Linked DNA regions of Oryzias latipes. The protein of the gene in region 1 purifies or fractionates together with the protein of each later gene. This does not show direct contact. Links are inferred from orthologs where the notes say so. Each region holds a gene or a part of one and is shown in the gene's direction. Other genes may lie near its edges. The genes, in order: nelfa and nelfb.

Region 1 (4,604 bases):
GTGAGTGTGCACACCGACGCGAAAAAACGCCACGCGCCAAAGCGTCAAAAAAAAAAAAACGCCTCGGGTTCGTTTTTTTTTTTCGACGGGTCGCGTCGAAATCTATTCGACCAATGAGAATGCCGCTTTTGCACACGTGTCTGGAGCTTCTGAAGTTACAGTAAAACACAACTTGGGGGCGCTCAAACACAAAACTGCCTTGCTGAGCACACATACCAGCGAAGAAGATAGACGTCAAGTAGCGTCTACACTGCCGCGAAGAAATAATGACGGACATTCTTAAATATCCCAGAACGAAGCACCAGTTGGAGCTACTGGTGCTTGAAATATTCATGTTTTCTTTTTATTATTCTGACTAGCGCGTAAATACTTGCTCTCTTCTTCTGAGGGAAAAGCGACTTTAAGAAGCCTAAAGTTGCGCAGCGCCACCTTGTGTACAGGAGTATTTCTGTTTACATTAAGCGCCATCTAATGTCAGGGAATGAAATTGCATGTTCGCTCGGCTCATCGTCAGCGAAAATCGCCTGGGTGTGAACACAAAAAACGTGGCGAAAAATGCTGGCGAATAACGCCTGGCGAATATTAGTCCCGGTGTGTACGGGCCTTAAGACTATGGATTTAGTACTCAAAGCTCTAGAAATCTGGGGAGTCACAGACCCTGGCATCCAGGTTGAAAGCTGTCTTCTTTAGATCCTGAAGCGCTCTCTGCATGAACTCAAAGGCATGACAGTCCACACACGGGCGACCTGAAAGCACAACAGCTAAGAAATAACACACAGCAGGGAGGTCGGACCCCCCATCCCCCCAAAAACACTGATCTTTTTAGGCTTTAGGCACACACACACACACACACACACACACACACACACACACACACACACCCCCACACACACACACCCACACACACACACGTATATATATGTATGTATGTATGTATGTATGTATGTATGTACACACACACAATAGAGGCCTGTGTGGTCCCATTGGGGGATGAAACCCATATATAAGCAAACATAATGTTTTCATTGACAGATTACCGATTCCATCTCAAGTAATAAAAAGAAAGAACCCCCATAGGCTAATGTTACCTACTTTCGGCTGGGATAACGGTCCCCGTCTCCTGATCTGCATCGGCGGTACCGAGGCAAAAGAGCTGCACGGCCAGAAGAACCAAGGCTGCTTGCGCATAGCCACGGGAAGCCATTGATGACGCCGTCGGGTCCCTGAATCAAGATAGGCAAGAAACATTTTTTTAAATAAAAAATCTACAAGGCCGTCCGGAAACTAATTAGCAAAATATGTAATGGTTAGGTTGTTAATTCCCCCCCCCCCCCCCCCCACCCCATCTTAACAGGCACGTTTTTACAAGTCACCTAAAGATTATTATTACCTCAGTGTTATTTACCTGCAGTCAACCAGCTACTGGTGTTTGGAAATCACAGTGAGGACAAACGAGCGCTGGTTGAGGAACATTCACCAAGTGCGCATGCGTCTGGCCAGGCTAAAATTTGCTATGCTTTGGTAATGAAACCGGAATTTCCCTCAAGCTTTTCAGAATAAACGACACATATTTAGTTTTTTTTTTTTTTTATTTGTCCACACCAAGAAACGTATAACCAGTAAAGAAGCAAATAGACTTGTTTTGTGTTAATAAAAAGGGAAACATGAGACTTTTTTAATGTAAACATTTTATACAGTGTATGGGTACATTGGAAATGACAGAAAAGAAGGCGGAGATGCCAATTTTATAGAAAAATATTTAATGTGGTGATCATTAGTTATCAACATAGCTGTTACACGTAACCACCCACTTGTGGGCGGGGTCCTACGAGCTGTTTTCTTAGGTAGCCTGCTAAAATGCCCGAACTCAAAACACTTCTTTTTCCAAGATGGCGTCGATGAAGGACAGCGACACTGGCCTGTGGCTTCACAACAAACTAGGATCAACAGACGAGCTGTGGACACCTCCGAGTATTGCTTCCCTGCTCACAGTGTCAGTAATCGACAATATACGGCTATGCTTTTCCAGTCTGTCGCCGCCGGTAAAGCTAAAACTGCTCCTGGGGATGCTGCATCTTCCCCGGCGGACCGTTGACGAGGTGGGTTGCTGCTGCTAGAGGTTAGCTTGAAAAGTCTCTGCTATTATTCACACAGGTAGGGTTGTAGTTTAGTTCACAACTAGTTGCAGAAAAAAATCTCGCAGGTACTCAGAGAGCATCTCAGAGACATGTCAAAAGAAAAACACATAACATAAAGAAATTTGGATGTAGTAGCTAATTATGGCTAACTCAGTAACTACTAAAAAGAAACCGCAGGTTCGTTCAGTACATTGATCTTCGGTGAGTTTTTACCTTCGCTTCAAGTCAGCAGTGGTCTAAAATTGAATTGGGGTCGGGAGAAGCTGCTCCATAGCTAAAGTTTTGAACGCCACACTAACTTCGGCTCCCCAGCGGCAGTGGGTAGCATTTGCCTGGTGGCGGGCGTTCAGACATTGTGGTGGGACGGACGCTGCTGGAGCGTTAGCTGGGTCGGAGGGCGGAACCAACACTGAGTCCGACATATCACCTGCTCTGCTATGCTGCTCTGCTGCTCATGCTGCTGCCGCCCGTCAGGACCTCTCAGTCTCACCGGAGCCAAACTCTGACTTAGCTTCAGTGATGGGGAATCCAGTAAAGGCAATTGGTGCTTTTATGTAATAATTTTCGTATCCAAGTCATCGCTTTACTTACGACCTAGAATAAAAACCTAATTAGTTGTCGTTTTTTTGTTTTATTTTATTTATTTTTAGAAGACATACATTTTTGTACCTTCCTAAAAAAGTACGTACGGTGCAGAAAAATATTTTGTTCTCGATTGTATATTTTTATCTTAGCGGAAGGGATACAAACTCAAATTCTTTGCAGAATTATCATTTTTTTTGAAAATTCCAACATGTATTTCATTTTATCTGCTCGTCAACCTTGTAAAGTTTTAATTGTTCAAGAACAATAAACTAAGCTAAACAAGAAGAGGGCGGGGTTACTCTGCACCAGCAGACCCGCCCACAATTTAGAAGTGAATTTCTCCTGGCACTCTTCAGACAATTACAGTTTTTTAAATATGTACTAAAAGCGGTATAATCGTAATCAAAAGACCACTTGGAATCCTTTTAAATTAAGTCAAAAGATGATTGGACTTGGACTGAAATTACTGAAGTAAACACCGGAAAACATGACTGACTTTATGTCAAATATCTTTTGAAAAATATTATTTTTATCCCTACTAAGTCGTCTTGATTGAATATGGAGGGTGTGGTCTTTTGATGTGTTGTCTGATGGGGGGGAAAAAATCTTTATAATTATATCTTTTGAGAAATTTGATAATCAAATGTCATTCTTCTGTGTTTTGCCCAGATGAAGGAGGCCTTGTCTGAGATCATCCAGCTGGCTACGGTGGATTCAGAGCCATGGGTGTTGATGGTTGCAGATATTCTAAAATCCTTCCCAGAGACGGGATCTCTCAATCTGGATTTAGAGGAGCAGAATCCAAATGTGCAGGATATTTTAGGAGAGCTCAGGGAGAAAGGTTGGTAAAATCTGCCATCCTGACTTTTATTGGGATGCTGGAGTCTTTAACCTTGTTTACATGTTTGCAAACATTTGAAATTCAAATACTACCAAGAAAGATTCCTCTGCGCTCTTATTATATTTTATATTTTATTTCTCTTTGTGTTTAAAAGCATACATTTGTTATATTTGATACATATGATACTGAGATATGTTGATCAAATTTATAACAGAACAGTTTGTTAGTTTGTTAGTTTAATCTTATAGTTTGTTTTGTTATTGCCCAAATTTAATGGGATTTCTGGTGTTTTATATATTATTTAAACAAAAAATATTTTTACATTATTATTAGTGTCAAGTTACATAGAAATAAACTTTGTCAGTTATTTATTTGTGTCAGGTGTTATTAGGTTAAAATGTTGTTATAAAAATTAGAAACATATCCATGGTTGAAATGTAAAGACTCACTCTGATGAAAATTGTGTTTTTGCTGTTTTGAACTTGTTCTTGTGGCATTTATCTAGTGATGGAGGAAATATAAAGAAAATTCAACTTAAAATTCCATTTCTGAGTATTTCTTTAATGAAATTGTTTTGAATCAGGAGAAAACGAAAAAATGCTGGTGGGAAAAGATTGTATTTGTGATGTAAACAATACATTGGACGGGTCACAAGCTCCCTGCTTCACTCAGCAGCAGGAGAAGGGGATCCTGGCTAGGAACAACATAATCATAAATACAAGGCCACTATGAACTCTTTTAAAACGGATCAAAGATGATCAGAGTGGGTCCTGAAAGGTAAAAAGTAGGATCAAATTAGTTTGGAGCAAAGTATTTCAAAGAAATTCAATGTTTTTTTTTTTTTTTTTTTTTAAAAATCTTTTCCTATCATTAAGTTTTGAGTTTGCTGCCAAACATGAGGTGGAAGGTTTGAAACCCAGTTCACCATCTTCATGCATCAGCGAGTTTGAGGTCTAAGGGAATTCCCAGACTCAAACAGATGTTGCTGGTGTGTCCTGTGGCTCATTTGTTTGTCTTCGCAGTGAGCGAGTGCGAGGCGT
Region 2 (4,493 bases), on another chromosome or scaffold:
GGAAGTCTGGGCATCTCTGCTTAGACTGCTGCCCCCACGGTCCCAGATAAACGGAGGAAGATGGATGGGTGGTGGTTTTGTGTGCTTGTGAAATCACAGTTTGAGATATTTGAGTGTGTGTATTTGCCTGCCTGTACACGTGTGTCTCCATTGAAGGACAAACTATCTTGAACGATATGGTAAATGGCGTATACTTATATAGTGCTTTTCTACCTACAAGGCCCAAAGCGCTTTACAGTCACAGACCCTTTCACCCAGCCACACCGCCTTGGGCGTGCAAGGCGGGAATCGAACCTGCACATATGCGATCATGGGTCGACCGCCCTACCGCTGCACCACGGCCGTCCCACTGATATAGTTTGACCAATATTTTTTTTACACCAAAATTTTACCATGTAAATCACTGTATCCTTGGTACATGGCAGGCGTGTCCAAAGTCTGCCAAATGTGGCCCACTTTCAAATTTCCACCCGCCTTCATGGTCCTGCCATAAAATCATTAGACCTTCAGCACTTTCTAAGAAGTACAATTTCTTGAATTTGATTTGCTAAATTACGTTATTAGCCGTTTTAAACCTGTGGCAACAACCTGTAGCAACTTGACCTTTAGAGCCTCATGCGCCGAATAAGAGGAGTGGATTTATTGGTGTCGGTGATCAAAATCACAGTGGTTTGTAGTTCTGAATAAGATAACTATTTGTGTTTTTTCCCCTTTTCACATGATTTAAATTTAGAAGTTTACAGTGAGCATTTAAAGCTCAGGTAACTGCCTACTCAACCAAATGGTAGAGCATCTTTAGAACCCAATTAATGTGTTTCCACCAAGGCGAGAAGCAGCAGAAAAAAAAACATTTTTTAATTATTTTTTCTTGCTTGGTTAGTTAAAGCCCTGAGGACAGGACTGGGACATGGGAAACCAGGGGGCGCAATGAGCTTCATCCAGTGTGGGTCCTTAGCATAGACTATAAAAACAGTTTTTCACTTAGGTAAGACACTTGACGCTACTGCCTTCCTATATAGCTACAAGGGGGCCAATATCTCGGTCACCCTGCCCTGTGGCGGCCCACAGCCCAGTTAAAATACAGGGTTGTGTCAGGAAGAGCATCCGGCGTAAAAATTTCTGCAAAACTATATCTGCGGATGAGTGAAGGCTAATGTATTTAGATAAAGCTCTGGTCCATTTGAGGAAATGAAAAGTATTTAATTGCAAAAAAAAAATAAAAAATCACACAGTTCATTTCTATTTAACGTTATAATGTTTCAAAGAAGGCAGGCCAAATGCCCGCATTACATTTTTAAGCACACCAAATTTAACCCTCTTTGCAAAAATTCGAGACACCCCTGGAATATGGTGTACATTCTTTTTTGTTTGTTTGTTTGCTAACAAAATTCAAAATTACTCATTTTTTCCATTTGAAACATTCAAATCCAAAAATATGAAGCACCATGGCATTTTACAAATAGAAAACTAGAACAAAGTCTAAGCAGCAGTTGAAAACAATATAAAGTAATAAAACTAAGTAATATGTAATCAAAATAAATAAAACATTGACTTATAATGCCAAACTAAAAGAATTATTGCCTTTGTTTCTTTTAATTTTACTTGAACATGGTGTACGTGTGAATGCAGCCACAGCGGGAAACAAAGAGCGGAACGTTTCATAAGGTTCCGTGTTTCCGGCGGCCCTGTTACAGCGCTACAACATTCGTAGACAACCGTTCAGACTTTAGCTGTGCGTTTAATTTGGCACCAACAAAACTGTTGCAACTTAGCCAAAATAGACGAACCTGTTTTTAGCACAAATTGAATTTGTGGGGTTCGTATTGATTAAATTATAAGAATGTTCGCGGGGCTGTCTGAGCTCGGCATTTCAAACGGGGATGATCTGAAGGAAACACTCACCAACTGTACGGAGCCGCTGAAAGCCATCGACCAGTTTCAGGTAAACAACAACAACAACGAAAAAATAATAGCACAAGATAGAGAATAGACGGGTTCTCTATCTTGGCGGGACGACTGCACATTATGTTAGCTTGCATTGTTCTGCATTTTAAACATTTTTTGTGATTAGATAAGTTTTCATTTCTTCAGAGCAAAATATAGAACTAAAATGACTGAGTTTCATATTTGAAGACCAAAAATAAAATTATGAAAATGTCTGTCTGGAGAAAAACCTTTTTCTAAATCTAAATTAGACAAATATTTATTCTATTAAAAAAAAGCGAGTGTGGTTTTGATCAGAAAAACTAAAAAATCTGAAATTTGGCCCTTAAGTAAATGGCGTATACTTATATAGCGCCTTTCTTCCTACAAGGACAAAGCGCTTTACAGTCACAGACCCATTCACCCAGTCACACACACATTCACTCACACATTCACTCACACATTCACACACTGGTGGCGGCTCCAATGAGTTTTGGGTGTTTTTAACGTGTTCTTGTAGCATTTTTCTCATGATGGAGGACATAGAAGTGCATTTCAAGCACTGCTGGTGCAAAGCTATCAAGTTAGGTTTGGGTTTTCTCCAAATAAAATTAAAATCTTTTGACCGATTGAGGCCAGATTATTGTTCATTTGCATTTCTTTTGGTGGTTACAACAATCCCTCACCAGTTGTTGATGTCTCATGTCATCACAGATGGAAAATGGGATTCTGTTGCCAACACTCCAGTCTGCTCTTCCTTTCCTGGACCTCCACGGCACTCCGCGGTTAGAGTTCCATCAGTCTGTCTTTGACGAGCTCCGTGACAAGTTGATGGAGCGAGTTGCTGTTATTGCAGATGGCAAGGAGGAAGATCGGTACGTTTTCAAAAGAAACTAGCTTTTTGGTAGAAGCGAGGTAAATGGATGCTGAAGTGTTGTTGTACCTTTTTTCAGGTATGGAAAGCTGGAGGAATTGCTGGAGAAGAGCTTTCCGCTTGTGAAAATGCCGTCCATTCAGCCGGTGGTGATGCAGGTGCTGAAGCATCTGCCAAAGGTAAAATATTATGCTACAAGAGGAATATAAATATATCTATTATTTTCTTATCGAAACAAATTGGATACATGGACACTAATTATAGAAAAGCTTCATAAATGTAAGTTTTCTGTTTTTATTCTGGAGCATTTACAGCTACATTTGTCTCAATATTTTAAACTATGCAGATAATACTGGATATAGTTTGCTATGATGCATGCATTACAAAATAGTCTCTTTAAAAGGGCCCATCTAATGCTATTCTAAAGCCTTTCAAGTGAACTATTTCCATATATATGAAAATATATTACCTTTGGCCCATGAAAGAACAAACATTTATGAAATATTAGTCATTTTCACCGCTCCTTTTCCTACCCGGAAGAGAGAGGACTCGATCTCTGAGGCTCCGCCTTTTGCTCCTTGTGGGTGCCGCCCATTTCATGACGTCCGCCTAGATTTGGCGTCGGCAGTGTGTCTGAGTTTCATCCACGAAAATAAACAACATTCAAACTTTTTCAAAGATGGATGTGCACATTGTGCATTTAAAATGAAGCAGTTTTTGCCAAACATTGCTAGCTCCAAGGAGAGAGTGTGTGTGTTAGCCGAGGGGGGGCTGGCAGCACCGACTCTTCCTGGAAGGGGCTGTTCCTCACTTATTCTATGAATGCCAGAACCCACTTGTTTTCGTGGGTTTGGAGGGGCTGGTGCTCAGAGAGTGTGTTTTTAGAGGAATCCTCAGAAATGTGTGAATGGATCAAAATACTAAGTTGGGGTTTTTTTTTTTGTGAGGAATTAACATTATATTACACTTAAAAGCTCAAAAAGTTGATCTCTCATGATATAGGTCCTTTTAAAAAGGTGCACCCTGATTCTTGATCCTTGTCTTGTGTGCATTCAGTTGAAGTCTTCCATTTCCATGGTTCCCAGGGAATTTCTTTGTTTCCTTCATCTAATTTGATATCTTTGGAAAACCAAATGTTTTAGCAAAAGGCAAAAAAAGCTTTAGCTAATTATTGTTTTTTTCTGCTGTAGGTGCCAGAAAAGAAACTGAAGCTGGTTATGGCGGACAAAGAGCTGTACAAGGTGTGTGCGGTGGAGGTCAAAAGGCAGATTTGGCAGGACAACCAGGCTCTTTTTGGGGACGAGGTCTCCCCCCTTCTAAAGCAGTACATCGTGGAGAAAGAAGCAGCTCTCTTCAGCAGTGACCTCTCCATTCTGCACAATTTCTTCAGCCCTTCTCCCAAAACACGACGCCAAGGCGAGGTGAGGGATTATTGTTTTTTTTTCGGATGATGTCTCTCACAGTAGACATGCACCTTAAAGGCCCGTACACACCGGGACGAATTTCGCGCGCGATATTCGCCGACGTTTAACGCCTTGTGACTAAACAAAGGGCACCAATGTGAGTGTGCACACCGACGCGAAAAAACGCCAGGCGTAAAAGCGTCATTTTTTTAAAAGCGCCTCGGGTTCGTTTTTTTGGTCTGACGCGACGACAGATGAGAATGGCGCTTTTGCACACGTGTCTGGGGCTTCTG

Evidence for each region.
Region 2: the proteins of nelfa (region 1) and nelfb purify together in Homo sapiens (affinity purification with mass spectrometry; 8 studies listed by BioGRID and IntAct, counting the BioPlex papers as one, with this or other methods). This does not show direct contact. The link is inferred for Oryzias latipes from reciprocal best matches to the Homo sapiens genes NELFA and NELFB.

What each region holds. Positions count from the first base shown.
Region 1 is NC_019876.2:18,438,166-18,442,769, forward strand, and holds the start of nelfa (negative elongation factor A), read left to right. Parts: upstream 1-1,638; 5' UTR 1,639-1,889; coding exon 1,890-2,099; intron 2,100-2,351; exon of another isoform or gene 2,352-2,509; intron 2,510-3,392; coding exon 3,393-3,564; intron 3,565-4,586; coding exon 4,587-4,604. Other genes in the region: c18h4orf48 (neuropeptide-like protein C4orf48 homolog), read right to left, coding at 658-746, 1,093-1,204. UniProt on the Homo sapiens protein: Essential component of the NELF complex, a complex that negatively regulates the elongation of transcription by RNA polymerase II.
Region 2 is NC_019871.2:30,111,730-30,116,222, reverse strand, and holds the start of nelfb (negative elongation factor B), read left to right. Parts: upstream 1-1,680; 5' UTR 1,681-1,840; coding exon 1,841-1,942; intron 1,943-2,637; coding exon 2,638-2,798; intron 2,799-2,876; coding exon 2,877-2,976; intron 2,977-3,987; coding exon 3,988-4,218; intron 4,219-4,493. UniProt on the Homo sapiens protein: Essential component of the NELF complex, a complex that negatively regulates the elongation of transcription by RNA polymerase II.